Linked DNA regions of Caenorhabditis elegans. The main gene of each other region encodes a partner of the protein of the gene in region 2 in a complex. Each region holds a gene or a part of one and is shown on either strand. Other genes may lie near its edges. The genes, in order: arx-6, arx-5, C46H11.3 and arx-1.

The links.
Region 1: arx-5 (region 2) and arx-6 share a complex: the UniProt entries of both Caenorhabditis elegans proteins name them as parts of the arp2/3 complex.
Region 3: arx-5 (region 2) and C46H11.3 share a complex: the UniProt entries of both Caenorhabditis elegans proteins name them as parts of the arp2/3 complex.
Region 4: arx-5 (region 2) and arx-1 share a complex: the UniProt entries of both Caenorhabditis elegans proteins name them as parts of the arp2/3 complex.

The regions. Positions count from the first base shown.
Region 1 is NC_003281.10:4,876,486-4,880,229, forward strand, and holds arx-6 (putative actin-related protein 2/3 complex subunit 4), read left to right. Parts: upstream 1-2,172; 5' UTR 2,173-2,177; coding exon 2,178-2,288; intron 2,289-2,428; coding exon 2,429-2,648; intron 2,649-2,693; coding exon 2,694-2,794; intron 2,795-2,839; coding exon 2,840-2,917; 3' UTR 2,918-3,158; downstream 3,159-3,744. Other genes in the region: Protein tost-1, read right to left, coding at 1,232-1,411, 1,527-1,636, 1,687-1,825; C35D10.1 (ER membrane protein complex subunit 7 homolog), read left to right, coding at 3,262-3,366, 3,589-3,744. UniProt on the Caenorhabditis elegans protein: Functions as actin-binding component of the Arp2/3 complex which is involved in regulation of actin polymerization and together with an activating nucleation-promoting factor (NPF) mediates the formation of branched actin networks.
Region 2 is NC_003281.10:12,816,207-12,820,421, forward strand, and holds arx-5 (putative actin-related protein 2/3 complex subunit 3), read right to left. Parts: upstream 1,895-4,215; 5' UTR 1,891-1,894; coding exon 1,782-1,890; intron 1,726-1,781; coding exon 1,652-1,725; intron 1,607-1,651; coding exon 1,532-1,606; intron 1,014-1,531; coding exon 720-1,013; 3' UTR 583-719; downstream 1-582. Other genes in the region: BE10.4 (DUF148 domain-containing protein), read left to right, coding at 367-504; Y37D8A.25 (PH domain-containing protein), read right to left, coding at 2,518-2,674, 2,807-2,988, 3,940-4,026; Y37D8A.2 (Putative phospholipase B-like 1), read left to right, coding at 4,052-4,120. UniProt on the Caenorhabditis elegans protein: Functions as a component of the Arp2/3 complex which is involved in regulation of actin polymerization and together with an activating nucleation-promoting factor (NPF) mediates the formation of branched actin networks.
Region 3 is NC_003279.8:5,039,431-5,042,921, reverse strand, and holds C46H11.3 (putative actin-related protein 2/3 complex subunit 5), read right to left. Parts: upstream 1,553-3,491; 5' UTR 1,431-1,552; coding exon 1,358-1,430; intron 1,279-1,357; coding exon 1,163-1,278; intron 1,119-1,162; coding exon 867-1,118; 3' UTR 830-866; downstream 1-829. Other genes in the region: C46H11.7 (ShKT domain-containing protein), read left to right, coding at 1-69, 113-541, 588-727; lfe-2 (Inositol-trisphosphate 3-kinase homolog), read right to left, coding at 2,157-2,252, 2,983-3,333. UniProt on the Caenorhabditis elegans protein: Functions as a component of the Arp2/3 complex which is involved in regulation of actin polymerization and together with an activating nucleation-promoting factor (NPF) mediates the formation of branched actin networks.
Region 4 is NC_003279.8:2,890,580-2,895,660, forward strand, and holds the start of arx-1 (Actin-related protein 3), read right to left. Parts: upstream 3,140-5,081; 5' UTR 3,135-3,139; coding exon 3,032-3,134; intron 2,978-3,031; coding exon 2,835-2,977; intron 2,165-2,834; coding exon 2,054-2,164; intron 889-2,053; coding exon 727-888; intron 683-726; coding exon of another isoform or gene 1-682. Other genes in the region: Y71F9AL.6 (Protein PBN1), read left to right, coding at 1-682; copa-1 (Coatomer subunit alpha), read right to left, coding at 4,983-5,081. UniProt on the Caenorhabditis elegans protein: Functions as ATP-binding component of the Arp2/3 complex which is involved in regulation of actin polymerization and together with an activating nucleation-promoting factor (NPF) mediates the formation of branched actin networks.

The DNA.
Region 1 (3,744 bases), 7.9 Mb from region 2:
GGAAGAGCAATTTCTGGAAAAAAAGGAAAGGGTTGAAGGAAATGTCACATCGGATTAGGATTTAAATAAAAGAAGATTGAAAATCAAAAAATTCATAGAATAGAAATTTCAGACTTACTATAGTCGATTTACCAATTCATAGATGGAGGTCTCAAAATGCGCATAACTGGGAAGTATATTTTGAGTTCAACATATTTTTACAAAAATGGACATATTTCAAAAATATCATTGCAGTAAGAAATTCGTAAAGTAAATTTGTTTATGGAATTTTCTACCTCAAAAACTGCCTAATTCTGATATTTTTTTTAATTCTTCCATATCTAAATATTTTAATTCATACAGCTCAAAAATTTCGGCTTCTCCGTAGCCTATTCCCAAGTGTTTTATGCACCTCCGTATCACACCACCATGTTGTAAGTCGCTACTCAGTCGATTTACCAATTGAGAGGTTGAATGCTTAAAATGCACATATTTCAGAACAGTCTTTTCCCTAGGAAATTTCAAATTTTATCTGATGTTCAGATCGTAGCACATGCTCTTTTGATCGGTTATTATTCATTCGGGGATTGACTGAGGATCTTTAGATTCTTTCTCACTTTCAGGTAGACTTCCTCGCGGCTTCGGCTCCGGTAGTAGTAGTTTACATATCAGGATTTTCAACACTTTTGTATTCCGACACTATTCCACTGGAAAATTCACTTATTGTGCATTTTTGGCAAAATTCTACAAGTTTCAAGGGAGACGCGCTTATACAAAAGGGTCTCGCCGCGGGAATCGTATTTATTAAAGATACTTGGTTTAAATGTCTTCTTACGTTAACAGAAGATTATTTTTAATATGTTTTTCTCGCGGCGAGACCCCTACACACATATGCTCTGTCCTTTGAACTTAAATGTTACTCTTTTCGTTTCAATACCAAATGCGCAATAAATCCCGCATTGAAGCATAGCGTTCTCCCATTACTTCTGCTCCCATTTCAGTTATTTTTTATGCCAATCTTGAAATTATTGCGTGCTCAAACGAAAATCAAACAAGCACTTACTTTGAACGATTTACTTATCGAAGGAATACCACAGAAAATCGTAGGATAAGATTATGAAAATTTGCACTGAAGTTCATGGGTGTGGGAAAACGAGGGAAATTATAACACTTAAAGAAGAAAAGGGCTGCTCAAAAATTGTGAGAAAAATACATAAATTTTGGAAAATGAATTTTGCAATTTATGGAAAAATTAAACGGATTGAAGAATGCTTCTGGTGATTTCTTGAATGTAGATATCCGAGCTGGTGAGCTTCTTCTCATCAGTAGAGGACGGCTTCAAAACAGCTTTCTTGGTCGGTGCATTCTCCTTGTCCTCCTCTTCGAAAACTTTCTCCGGTGAATTGACAATTGGATTTTTTGCGAGATAGTTCTGAAACATAACCAGGTTCTCATAAAATCTCAAAGTTTCATTTTTTAAGGAAAACATTAAGAGTTGTGTTAATATCAGTGCTTTGATTAAAAGTTCGAATAGTCTAAATAATTACCTCCACAAATTCCTTTTTCGAATTCAAGTTCCGGTCGTGAACGACAAAGAAGACATCAGAATCGTTTTTGACAGTCTCTGGCTCAGTGGCTTGAATAGTGTACCCCTTTTCTGGAAGACAACTATGTTATTATGATTCAAAAATGCTTGAAAACATTTACCGAGAACTCCGAAGCGCTCATTCAATGTGATTCGTTTATTTGTCGCAGTTTTGTACTTGTTTTCCAGAATCGACGCCACTTTGTTGCTGTGCTCACGGTCAGCTAAAGGAATAACTTGATATTGGATGGCAGTAGTCATTCTGAAAGGTTTAAATTTTTAAATTTTACTGAAAACGCAAAATATTTTGCAAAATGGGAAAGTGGAATGATTGAAAATCAGAAAATTAATTTTAAAATTGACAATTTTTAAAAGAATGGATGATAAATTTGTCTTCGCGCGCTACTCGAAACAAAAAGTGCAGCGGAGCGTGTTTGCATTACTTTCAAAACGACGCAAATAATGATTCATTTTCGGATTATCGACTCCAATTTTACGATTTTCGCCGGTATTTCATGTTTTATTTTGTTCCATGCAATCTTTTTTCACTTCTAAATAATGTCTCAAACTGTTTCGTCAATAAAAAAATCAATAAGCATGCGCATTGCAGGTAATGAGCGCAACACTCCAACCATATCTGGAGGCCGTGCGTCACACGCTCCAGGCAGCTCTCTGTCTTGAGCAATTCAGTTCGCAGGTGGTCGAGAGACACAACAAACCAGAAGTAAGATTTATAACAGTAAAATGACTTGCAAAGTGTGAAGATTGAATAATTTAAATCAGTCCGCCGCCAATTGCAATAGTTTTTCGCTCAAAAACTATTTAAATGTATTATTCTATTTGTATATTATAATAAAATTGTAGGTGGAAGTTCAAACATCGAAAGAACTGCTCATGACGCCAGTTGTTGTTGCTCGAAACAAACAGGAACGAGTACTCATCGAACCCTCCGTCAATTCTGTCAGAATATCAATCGCCATCAAACAATCCGACGAAATCGAGAAGATTCTGTGCCACAAGTTCACTCGATTCATGTGCCAAAGAGCCGATAACTTCTTTGTGCTCCGTCGCAAGCCACTGCCAGGTCAGAATTAATACTAATATTCAGAGATTAAAGCGATAATTTTAGGTTATGACATCTCGTTCCTCATCACAGCATCTCACACAGAAGCAATGTTCAAGCACAAACTTGTCGACTTTTTGCTTCATTTTATGCAGGAAATTGATAAGGTGAACATTTTAAGTTAATTTTTAAAAAATTCCATAAATTTCCAGGAAATTTCCGAGATGAAGCTGTCTCTCAACGCCCGTGCCCGTGTTTCTGCTGAAGAATTTTTGAAGCGTTTCAATTAATTTTCTCCCCATGATTCCCAATTCATTTTTCTCATTTTCACTCAAATTCCGAAGACTTTAAACTATTATGTGAACACGGTTTTTTGATCAATTTGTGTAAATATCATCTTTATTCTCAATTTTTTCACTTTTTGTTTCTGAAAATGACTCCCCTCCCAAAAATTTCCTGTTTTAGGTCCTATTTTGCCTTTTTGATTATCGATTTTTTTTACCGCACACTGACTTTATGAATTATTTATTCAATTTTTGCAATATGTATGATCTGAAATATCTCGTGAAACATTTACGAGCTTTAATATTTTAAAATGATTATTAAGTTGGAAATTGACAAATCAATTTCAGAAATGAAGTCTATTCTACTTTTATTCTCCCTGATAGTGCTCGGCAGTGCAACAGAAGAAGTGAGCAGAACTGAGCAAACATCGACATTATTCTCCGTCGAAGGCGAGGTTCGTATACCAAAAATGTTTGATTTTTGGATTAAAAATATCGATCATTTTGGCTATATTCATAGAGAAGTCATATTATAAATTAAGACAACGTTTATATGCTTCTGAATACTTTTTCCAGTTCTCACATTTTTTAAAATTTTATCTTCTAGGTTCCTATTCTAATAACAACAAATTCGTTGTAAATTAAATATTTCATAGTCCTCAAAAAAAAAATTTCAGATCGCACTTCCATCTACTCGAAATTGTGCAAAATGGTCCGCAGGTGCTCGTATTCATTTGAACCATGGCCAATATATGGGATTTGTTCGTCAAGATTGTACATTCCGTGTTGATTTCGTGCCTACTGGAACCTATATTGTTCAAATCGAAAATACA
Region 2 (4,215 bases):
TGGTGGTTTTTCTTTTTTATTTTTTTGTTAAAAACTGTTTAAATCAATTTTTATTCATTCTCTGACTGGAAAACGGCAAAAAAACTGATTTAAAACAATTTTTAACAGGAAAAAAGAAAAAAAAGTACCATAAACTTTTTTGCGCGCCGAGACCCATCTGAACAAATCTGTGCGCCTTTAAGACGGAAATCTTGGAAAATTACGGGAAATTAATAGTTTTTTTCCCGATTTTATTTGAAAAAACCTGAAAATTTTTCGATTTTCTAATAAAAAAGGCCTATATTTGGGGTTTTCTGAAAAAAATTCGACTATTTTCCAATTTTCTCGGAGAAAATCTTAAAATTTTCAATTTTTCTCAATTTCCAGGCTCTTCCAGTCTCCCAACTTCCCGAAGAGGTTCGAAGTCACTTGGCACGTTGCCAGATAACTGCTCCAGAAGTCGTACACGATACCGTGGCGTTTTTGTTGTCAGTGATGGGATCCAAGCAGACAAATTATCGGTAGAGCATAGAGATTTCGCGTATTTCGCGCACAACATATTTGACGCGCGCAAAATATGTTGCGTTACCGTAATAAAATGATGAAATCGGAATTTTAATGAATATTTTAAAGCAGCACAAAAAGTAAAACTGGACGCAATATAAATATAATTACATGGAAAAAAAAATGGGAAAAGTGAAAAAATTTTGAGCCAGATACAACAATAATTAATCGATAATTCACAAATTAACACCCTGTCCAACGAGCCCCTTGTCCATGAATCGTCTTCTCGCGAAACAGAGCCACCACTTGCTCGGACGATCTTGGGGATCCGGGAACGCGAGATCACACAGACGGGCGCCGATTTCTTGGCGAATTTGTTGCAAATAGGCACGCATTTCGTCCTCGTCCGGTTTCGATTGGGGCGCCTTGTACATGCTGTTCAGTGGGAATCCATTTTCACCGGGAATTGGAAGCAAATGACTGAGAGCCAAGGCGTGAAGATCCTTTTGGCCGGCTATCTTGTTTGGGCTCTGAAAATTTGAAAAAATTTGCAAAAAAAAAACATGTTTTTACGCTTTATTTCACTCAAAATAGCCCGAAAAGACCGAATTTTGTAACTAGAATTTTTTTTTATAATTTCCAAAATTTTGAGAAAAAAAAAAGTTGGATTTCTCCGAAGAAAATCGGAAAAATTTCGGATTTTTTCAGTGAAAATCGAAAAATTTTCGGATTTTTTCAGGGAAAACCAGAAAAATTTTGGAATTTTCAGGGAATATTAAACAATTTTTAGATTTTTTTCAGGGAAAAACCAAAAAAATTCGATTTTTTCAGAGAAAACCTTAAAATTTGTGGATTTTTCAGAGAAAATTGAAAGAATTTGGGATTTTTTCAGAGAAAATCGAAAATGTTTCGAATTTGAAATTTTCTACTTAAAAAAATCTGTTTTCGGTAGGAATGTTCAAAATATCCATTGAAATTCGGTATGTTTGGGTCTTTTTTTCTTATTTTTCAATCTAAAAAGTAGGTTTTTTTCGTGCAAAATCCGTACTTTTTGCAATTTTCTGAGGCACTCGGTGATGTAGAAGATGAGATAGATCATTGTACGGTCCGCGGGACCTTTGATCTGAAAATTTCTCAATTTTAATAGGGAAAAATCTCGAAAATCAACCTCAAATTCGCGGAAAAAGATGTTCGGCTTGAAGTAGGTGAGCGCTTCGTCGATGATGTCATCCTGATTGGTTTCTGCAATAATTTTAATATATAATATAGGTTTTTTCAATCAATTTTTGAAGACTTACGAGGCGCTGGACCCTTGAAATTGGTTCGAATCGGAAGTTTTCCCATATTTGTGTTGCCCAATGGCAAAACTTTGAGTTCAGTGTCGAATTTTGAGTGGTATGCCGGCATTTCACTGAAAAATAAGTGTTTTGTTTGGAAAAATGCATAGAAAACGGCTTATTTTCGGATACCCGAGGGGGGGGGGGGGTAAGTACATAATGAGTCACTGCGGCTGCGAAAAAAAATCGATAAATTGTGAAATTCGAGTTTTAAATTAAAATATAAGTATTTTATTCGATAAAAATGCAGTTTTTGAAGCGATAATGTCGTTGCGGACGCGAAAATTAAAGTAAAACCCGAAAATACACTTTTATTCGGAAATTCGTGTTAAAATATATGAAAACTTGGAATTAATATGATTAATATCAGCTTACAAGTTTCCTATAATCAGATATTTAAGAAAAATTGGAAAAAATCAAAGATTTTCTGCTTTTTAAACGTTTTTTCTGATGAAATTCTCTCCAGGAACGGAAAAATAAATAATAATCTCGTGTAAGTTTACGGTAAACAAGGCGCGACATCGGAATATCGGAGCATCGTTTGGAAATTTTTAATGAAATTTCGCGATTTTTTGCGAAAAAAACGATAAATTCAGGGAAATTCCAGCTGCAAAACAAAGCAAAAAACGTTAAAAATGTATGATTTATAATCAATAAGTCAAAATATCACAGTGAAAATGTGCAAAATGTATAAAAATCAATCCCTCATCGCTTTCTTCTGAGTTTGCTCGATTTGCTCATGAAAACTTTGTTTCGAGAGCTGTATATAGTCGATCGGGGAGATTGTGAGCAGCGAAACCCAACGTCCCAGCGATTTGAACGAGTCGGCGGCGAAGATGAAGCTTCGAGCAGTTCTGGAAAAAAATCGGATAATTTTAGGAATTTTCAATCGATTTTTCATCGATTTTCGATAAAACCGATAAAAATTCAGTTTTTTTTTGGAATTTAGTATTAATTTTTCGTGTTGAGACCCGGAAAAAACGCACGATTTGAATTTGATTTCAAAAGTGAAATCCTTGCCAATCTTATTCTCATCACATAATTCGATAAAACAGTCTTCAATAATTAGTAGTAAAAATGGAGGAGCCGACGTCTCCTCTTCGGTTTTATTGTACACGAAAAGCATATTGGCCTTGAGAACACCCCAGCCGGCACGCCATTGGAAATCCTGAAAAAAACTTTTTTTTTTAATAAAAAAATCATTTTTTTGATTTTTTAAATTTTCAAATTACTCCAAATTTCCCATATTTTGTTTTAAAAAAATTCAAAAAATTTCAAAAATCTTATATTTCAGCTTGAAAGCGCGAAACAATTTTCAAACTCGCGCCAGAAAAATTCTCATTGGAGCGCGCCATGCCATGTCGATTTACGAGGGGTTTTTTTGCAGCCAAATTCGGTTTTTTAAACCAGTTTTCTTCATTTTCTTCGGTTTTTTTAAATTAAAATGTGTTTTTTCGTGTAAATTTGGGTATTTTATTATTTTAAAAATTGAAAAATCAGTAAGTTTCGTTCACTTTACACGAAATAAATTATATTTCAAAAAAAAAAAATCAAAGAAACTAAAATTTGCAAGTTTCTTTGATTTTTTTGTTGAAAAATTTTTTTTTTCAAATTTTAAAAATCATAAAATTATTTCACATTTTCACTTAAAAAAACGCGAAAAATATAGAAAACTTGTTGAAAAACTGAAATTTGCAAACAAAATCTCTCGTAAATCGACGCGACATGGCGCGCTCCAATGATAATGGCCCTGGCGGATTTTAAGCTGAAATATGATAAAAAATTTCATTTTTTTATTTTTTGGAACTTTTTTGCAATTCCACTTTTATTACGGAACGACTAAATTCTGAAAATGCGTACCACGCAACATATTTGACGCGCAAAATATCTAGATACAGTAAAAAATATTTTGCGCGTCAAATATGTTGTGCAGTGCGCATTTTCGGAATTTTGGGTTCCTGTAATAATACAAGACGATCAAACTCTAAAGCACCTAACAATTGGTTTGATCTCCACGAAAACGCGAAAATATTTATCTTTTTCACGAGGTCAAAGGGTCACGGAGCACCTGACATGTCTGTGGTGCCATGCCCCGTCTCCCGAACAACTGCTTCAGTACCTGCTGCAACTGCAAAGGTCCCGAAAATCTTCTCTCAAACGTCGGATCCGAACCCAGCCGGAATAGTGAATTTGCGTTGGCGAGCATATCGTGTGTGTGGTGCTGCTGGAGAATGAATTGGATTTTTATATTTTTGGCTGCTGCGGTGGCGATTGGTTGTGAGGCGAGACAGGAGAGAACGGTAAGAATTAAAGAAATTTTTTTAGGTGGAGTAGCGCCAGTGGGGGGAAATTGCTTTAAAACACGCCTATGGGGTCACAATAACCGAATATCATG
Region 3 (3,491 bases), on a different chromosome or scaffold from region 2:
ACGGTGGCATTCTTGTGTGCCAGACACAGGTCTGTGATGTGGCAGCTGGTCAATGTTGTCCTGTAACCAGTAAGTCAACAAGGTTCTTTCAACCGTGACCTATGATTTTTAGCCGTTCCCCTTGTGACTTCAACCACTGCTGCTGTGGTAACAGATTCTGATGGATCTACAGTAACCACAACTGCTTCAGCAGTTACAGTAACCTCAACCTCTACAACTTCGTGTGCTGATCGCCTCAATCCATCTACCGGGGTCTCTGATTGTCCAGCACTTGCCTATCTTTGCAACGACACCACCTACTACACAGTCATGACTCAACAATGTCCAAGAACATGCGGTCGTTGTAACTCAACTACCACAAGCTCCACTAGCTGTGCCGATCTTGTAAACCCATCCACCGGAGTTTCTGATTGTACTGCACGAGCTTCTTTGTGCAATGATTCAGTCTACTATGCCGTCATGACTCAACAATGCCCAAGAACTTGTGGAAGATGTAACTCAAGCTCTACCGTAACTTCATCTTCCTCCACAACAGCTTCAAGTAAGATTAATAATTGTTCATAACGTTCCATGTCTGAACTTTTCAGCCACCTGTGTTGACCAAGTCAACGCAGCTACAGGAGTCTCCGATTGTCCAAACCGTCGTGCATTCTGTACCAATTCTGCCTACGCAACCCTTATGAGAGCTCAATGCCCACTCACTTGCGGATTCTGCACTTCTGGATAATCTTCATTTTTTCTTGAATCATTTTATTTATTTCCTAATATATTTGGTTGTTGTAAATTTGAACTTCTTCATATAAAAAACTTTGGATCTTGGAGTTTTATTGCAGAAATTAACAGATACATGTACCTTCATTAAAAAATTAGAGACGTTGTCGATTGGACAACACTCGAACAATGGATCCCTGCCCAAATTTTGATACCAATTGAGAATGCCACAATAGTAGAGAAAGACACGTGGCAGAATCAGAGCATAGTTGCATTGCTTTGTAAATATACTTCATCAGAATGTCTCCATTTTCATTTGACAGCTTGTGAACTGATTCTTCAATATCGGTCTGTCGAAATGCATGAATAACCTCGGCCACAAGGAGAACAGCACGGTTCTTGAGTTCCTAAAAGGGAAAGAGGTTTGCAAAATGACATTAAAAAATAAAACCTGTTCAGAATGACCAAATGGTGGGTTTAAGAGAACGGATTGAAGAGCATATTCAAGTCGATTTGACTCCAGAAATTGCCGAACCTCTTGCACATTTGGCCCACAATCTGCAGATTCTGAAAAAATTTTCAAAAATTATTTATTGAAATATTATTATTTATTCAAAAATTAATTATTGAATTCAGATTGACTAACCTTCCTGAATATCTTCAAAATGAGCTGGATGAAAAATATCAACATTGTACTTTTTATAGTCAGTGTTGTACATTATCTACAATAGAAAAACATTTCTGAATGAAAACCTAAAAAATGATATAAGAAAGCTTTTTTGAAGTCTCTTTGAAATTTTGAATAAGAGCACCAATTGTCCACTCTTTTGTGAAATTCGAAAACGTTTGTTCTGCTGCATACCAAATTTCATAGATTCTTGTTTCTGAACAATTTTCTTTTAATCCCCAAATAATTGCCATAAGTTTTTTGTTTTGCCTAGTACTTTTCACTAGGCAATCGGCCGATATGCACTGGGAACAATTGCACCTGCTCTAGCTTTTAAAGCAAAGACTTCAATAGATTGTTGTTTGGATCTAAATTGCAACTGGACATTTCAAAAATTTCTCTTCATTTGAGAATAAAAATATACAAATTGTACCCAATCAATTAATCCATTACTCGGATCGTACACAATGGAACAAAAAAAACAACTGAAAGTAAGAAGAAAGTCTAGGGATTATGCCATGGTAAAGGAAAAGAGAAGGGGAAAGCGATAGATTAAAAAGTGAAAATCTATTTTCTTTTTCAAAAAATCTATTTTCTTTTTCAAAAAACCAACAAAAACAAGGACTGGCTGGAGGGGGTGTAAAATTGAATAATAGCAAATTGTACACGGATGAGGATTTTGTGGAGGAGCGGTGGGGAATCACAGAAATTATTATGGCGGAATATGAAGAGACACACACTTTCATCTATCTACAGTAATCCAAGGAGGTAGAAGCTTCTACGATTTCGTATTTTTCATTCTGGCAATCACTTCCTCTGTGACCATTAACTGGTCATCAGGATGTTCTCCGTACTCGGGGAGTTCTTCGAGAATCTGAAAATATTTGAATTATAATTCAACTACTTGGTAACATTTAAAATTTATGAGAAGAAAAATAAATATAGTGTCAAGAATTTGAAAATATATAAATTGATTTTCCGCACCTCTTATCTATATTAGTTACCGAATATTCTCTAATAGTATTAAATCCCACTACTTTATTTTTGCTTTAAAAAATTTTAAAACAATATGAAACACTTTCCAATATTTTTTCCAATTTATTCAAAAATGTTACGGTTTTTATGTCCCCATATCAGTTCTGTGAATTTATTGATCTCAACATCCCCCGGTTATAACTACACTTTTACCTCCATTCTCGTTTTTCTCCCCGTTTCACCTGTTCCCTATTATCTTTTCTTTCTTTTTTTATGTAACTTTTACTCGAGTTGAACTCTTTTAGGGTTCGTCTCGTTTTATTTGTTTATTTCTCTTCTTTTAGTTAAATAAACTCAAATTCAAAAGAAAAATAAATATAGTGTCAAGAATTTGAAAATATATAAATTGATTTTCCGCACCTCTTATCTATATTAGTTACCGAATATTCTCTAATAGTATTAAATCCCACTACTTTATTTTTGCTTTAAAAAATTTTAAAACAATATGAAACACTTTCCAATATTTTTCCGTTAACAATTTTTGTATAGGACAAAAGGCAACTGAGTTTAATAGTAAGGTGCTACATTAATAATATTTAAATAAAAAATTCTAAGAAAACCAAGCTTACCTTGACTAAATTATCGATTCCTATCAAATACCCATCTTCATTATTCCCAGGTATCCACGTCGTCCGATGGTTTAGTGTTCGTCCATTAGGAACCGGTGAACTCTTTGCAAAGTCAATCATCCAGCATCCCACTTTTTCCGTATCAAAAACAATCAGAATACTGCTTCCGACGACTTCATGTGAATTGAAGAATGATGAATGTTCGATGGCTTTTCGCATTGATTTCAGTCGTTCAATTAATTGTTGTCTTACACGGCTTCTTTGAGTTCCAAAGAAGTCCATAAATGTAGTTGTGACATCTTCAACTGTTCGTACTTTTTTGAAGTTTTTCTCCAATGCGCCTTCGAGCCTCTGGAAATAAATGCGATGTTGAAGAGTTTAGGGTTTGAAGAAAACTTGTTATGTTAACATTTAGAATTCTAAATATACCCATGAATTGGATGGAAAAACATATGTTTTATAAAGATTAAAGCTTTGAGCACTGCGGAAGTCAGGTACACAGCTGGAGC
Region 4 (5,081 bases), on a different chromosome or scaffold from region 2:
TATATACCATATATACACATATACCAAATCTCCCATATATCATATACATCATATATACCAAATCTACCATATTCATATAATAAATACGTTATACATTATTTTTGGCGTTTTTCTTGCGTGTTATGCAATTGCTAGCAGAGACGGCAGATGGTACACAGGTACCTCGAAAACATTATCGATCGTCGTCGGTACACCAGAATCCACGTCATCTCTCCCTGTCCCTCTCAGTCTCCCACACTCTCTACTCGACATGGCAATTTCTGCGTACATCCCGAAAATCGACGAAGAAGCACTCAGAACCGCTTTCCACGCTGAAGCCGAAGATCATGAGCAGCTAGAAAATGCGAACCGCCGACAAGCCGAAAAGGAGAGATTCCGCCAAATTTGGCATCTATTTCTGACGCATTTGGAGCAAGATCCACGGAAAACTGGAAGTTTCTGGCTGCAAGAGCTGCCTGTGTTGCTCCGCGAGGTTTCGAGTTTCGATGAGGATATTTTGGGATTCGGAGCGCTTGATGGTGAGGAGCAATTCGATTTTTTTGCAGTTGCAGGAGAAGCCGAAGTAGACGGGAACAAGTATCCATCATTGTCGGGAATGTGTAAATTGTCGTTTTTCATTATATTTTTCATGTTTTTGCTGGTATTAATTTGCATTTTTGGCTATTTAATAAGTGACAAATAAAATAATAAAAATTTTTTTTTCTCAAAAGCGAAAAAATTTCCTACCAATCCAGTCAAGCTTCGCTCGTTGGCTTCTCTGGAATTCCAGCTGGCAGTCAACGCTAGGACGGCCTGAACGGCTATGTACAAGCCTGGCACGTTGAACGACTCGAACATAATTTCAGCAGTATATTCTCGGTTTTCCGGAGTGTTGAGTGGTGGTTCCGTCTGGAAATTTTCAAATTTTTTCGTGGAAAACTGCCTAATATTCGCTATTTAAAGGTGGTGTAGTCGATTTTTAAAAAAAAAATTGCTTTATTAGACTCAAAAATTGTCTGAAAACACCGAATTTCATAATGAATTGAAAACTTCTCAAAAAAAAAGTTATGGCGGCTCCAAAAAAATGGCCTAAAACAGTTAAAATTTGAAATTTGGCCTTTTGAAATTACCGTCAAATTTTAGATATATAAGTTGATTATTGTGCGTTTTCAACTCGATTTAGGTATTTTAAAGCCGGTGGACTTGGAGATTTTTAAATTTTTATTACCAAATCTCCAAGTCCACCGACTTTAAAATACCTAAATCGAGTTGAAAACGCACGATAATAAACTTATATATCTAAAATTTGACGGTAATTTCAAAAGGCCAAATTTCAAATTTTAACTAATTTTAGCCGATTTTTTGAACCGTCATAACTGTTTTTTTTCAAGAAGTTTCATTATGAAATTCGGTGTTTTTAGACAATTTTGATTCTAATAAAGCAAAAAAAAAATTCGACTACACCAACTTTAAGCCTGAAAGTTGAAGCTCAGGTAGATCGTGGCGGGACCCTTACTTTAAAAAAAATTAGAAACAAAATTTTGTAAATTTCCAGAAAAAAAAAACGATTTTTTAAATAGAAAATTAAAGCCATATCTTCAAAAAAACAGCTTTTCCTATAAAATTAGGATTTTAATACGAAAAAAAATTTTTTTTGCTATTTTTTTGAAAAAATGTAGATTTTTCATTTAATTAATTTTAATTAATAAAGCTTAAAAATACCGGAGTTTTCGGGGGAAATTCCTTGATTTTTCTCCCGTTTTTTTCAAAATTTTTACGTATTTTTTAAATTGGTATCACATGCTTTATTTCCAAAAAAATTGTCCTGTCAAGACCGGATACCGTAATTTTAGAGTCAAAAATTGCAAAATTTCGTGATTTTTAAGCTTTTTTCATCGAAATTTATCACTTTTCACGTGTTTTTTCTGTAATATATAGCTTTTCACCGATTTACATCCATTTTACAGGATATTTTCTATTAAAAAAACGGATTTTCGACCCCCTTTTCTTTTAAAAGTGGCCAAAATATTGTTCCAGAGCATTTTTTCCCGAATTTTCTGCTTCTCTCCCGTACCAAAAGGAAGAAATGATCCTCTGGCTCGGCTCTCAAGTATTTGAAAATGCACTGCTCCCAGTATCGTTCCATAAGATCCCAGTCTTCGACGATTCCATGCCGAATTGGATACTAAAAAATTTAATTTTAATTTTAAACATTTTTTCCATATGCTCCTGATACCTAATATCAATGTGAAAAATTCAAAAAATAAAATTCCCGATTTTATAAAAAATTATATTTTTTTTAATCCAAAAGTCCAAAATGTTAAATTCAGAAACGACAAATTTTGCATGATAACCGTGCCGCATGTGTGGATTTACGAGACTAATATTTTTCATTCATTTTTATTTAATTTTCACACCGATTTTCCCGATTTTTCCTTGTTTTACATTAAAATTATCATGATTTCCATTAATTTATGACTTTTTATTAATGAAAACAACAAAAATACGTGAAATATTCGATTTTTTCAGCAAAAGTTCGATATTTCTTGTAATTTAATTTGTTTTCATTAATAAAAAGTAAATTTATGAATAAATTTATGAAAATCCCAAGAATTTCAATGTATAACAACGAAAAAACGGGAAAATCGGTGTGAAAATTAAATAAAAATGAATTAAAAATATTAATCTCGTAAATCCACACCTGCGGCACGGTTATCATGCAAAATTTTGTCGTTTAAATTTAAAATTAGGATTTTTGGATTTTAAAAAATTATATAAAATCTGGGAATTAAAAAAAAAAATTTCACATTGATATTTGACATCAGGAGCATAAATATGGTCTATTAACTACGAACTTTGACAGTATAATTCGTAGCGGCCGGCGACAAAGCTTCATCTCCAATAAAGAAATCAAGATCGTCTATCCCGGCTCCGACTCGGTTATTCCAGCGCATCGCCTGCGAATTCGAGCTCGCCACCTTGTCCTTCACGGCAATTGCTGGAAAATTCACTGGATTTTATGAAAAATAGGCTGAAAATCAATAAATCTAACCAGATGGAATAATAAACTGAGGTTCCGTGTTCCCAGCATATCCGAGCTTCGTATAACCCGTTCCATTGTCGATCACACATGCCGGTAGTTGATGGGCCGACATGCTTGCTGCAAAAAATTTGGGATTTTTTTTGTTTTAAATGGGAGAAAAAGACGGAATTTCAGTCTAGCGGTTTAGAAATTCGAAAAAATGGGCTAATTTCCGCTGAAATCTCCAATCTTGGAGCGTTTTTAAGCCGGAAATTGATAATTTTGCAAATAAATTAATTTTGTTCCTTTTTTGGCTTCAAATATACCTAAATTAACGCAATTTTCAACCGCTGTGACACAAAAAATTGGCAAAAATGGAGTTTTTCGCTGAAATGTTTAACAAAAATTTAGCTAAATAATTTTATGACGATTTAAAATTTCAAAAAAAAAAAAGATTTAGCAAAAATCGTAAAATTTTGCCATTTTTGGTTTTTTAAAACATATTTTTTCGTCGATTTAGCTACTTATTAAGCCAGTATTTTAGCAATACGTAACTATCGGCTAAAAGTACCTAAATCCACGAAAAAAAAAGGATAAAATCACTCAAATGTGTCAAAAATCAAATAAAAATCAATTTCCGACGGCTGTGACACGAAAAAATTGCAAAATTGGGGATTTTCGTTAAAAATAGCCCATTTTTTCGAAATTTTGAAGTTCAAAAATGCGAAAAAAAAAACTCAGTTTTGGCTTGGATAATCGGGTTTATTTGATTATTGTTCTATTTTCCATATTTAAGTGATTTTTCTCGCGTTTTTTCGCTGATTTTGGCAATTTTTAAGCCGTTATACATAACTATCGGGTTAAAATATCCAAATCCACTAAAAAACAGGATAAAAATTATTTAAATATGCCAATATCAAATAAAAATCATTTTCCAACGGCTTTTTGGAGTTTTCCGTTAAAATTAGAAAATTTTTCCGCATTTTTTTACCGCCATAAATTTTTCTGTCATATTACGATATGAAATTCGGTATTTTCAAGTCACCTAGAGGATCAGAATCCAAAAAATCGTGAAAAAATAACGTAAAACTGCCGAACTGCACTAGTTAAACAATCGGCGAGTGCGGTGACTCATCCAAAGAATAAACAGAAAATCGATATTTTTACGATTGAAATTCACAGGAAATTCTTGTAGGGGGAAAAGAAGAAGAACAATTGTTTTAATCCTTTGCTGAGAAACTGAGAAACTGGGGGTGGGGGATCAAAAATTAATACCTTAATTGTTCAGTTTATTCGTGATTTTTGGATTTTTCGGGTCTTTTCCACGTCAAAAATGATTCTAAAATTCAGATTTTATTATATATATTATTTTAAATCAATAAATTCCGATAAAACAATCAGTTTTCAAGGAAATATGTGGACAGACATCATTGGACCACTTAGAAATTGCGAAATTCACTGAAAATTATTGATTAATTCGAAATAACTGAATAATTAGGTATATGTTAACTGAATTCCATGGAAATTTGCAAGAAAAATGAGCCAAAACGCGATAAAATCCTGGCTTTTGCCTTTTTCCGGTGCCAAAATGGTTTGTGTGCATTTTGTCGTAGTCCGCAATACCAAAACCCTAGACTTTACGACAATTTTCTTACTGTATTTTTTTTGAATTTTTTCGAGCAAATTTCTCCATGTAAATTACTGATTTAGAGAACATTTTCTTACCCCAAAGATAAATGAAAAAAAGTAAAAAAATCATGATTTATTCAAATAAAATAGACCAGCATGCAATCATAATCTTTCTGTGGGGTTTAAATAATTTTTAAAAACACATAATTTAAATAGAAAACATGAACCGCCGCCCAACGGGAAAATAATATGAAGGGACCAAAAGCAATGGGAATTGTGGAAGAACAAGGCAAATAAATTACAATAATTAATATCACACAAAAAACGAAAAAATTATCATATTTCACAACTTTTAGCTCTTCAGAGTTGAGATTCGGAGCCCAAGAACATTCTTTCCAACTTCTGCAACCTGGCACACGTTGCACACTTCTCCCTCGAGCCCTTCAGAGTA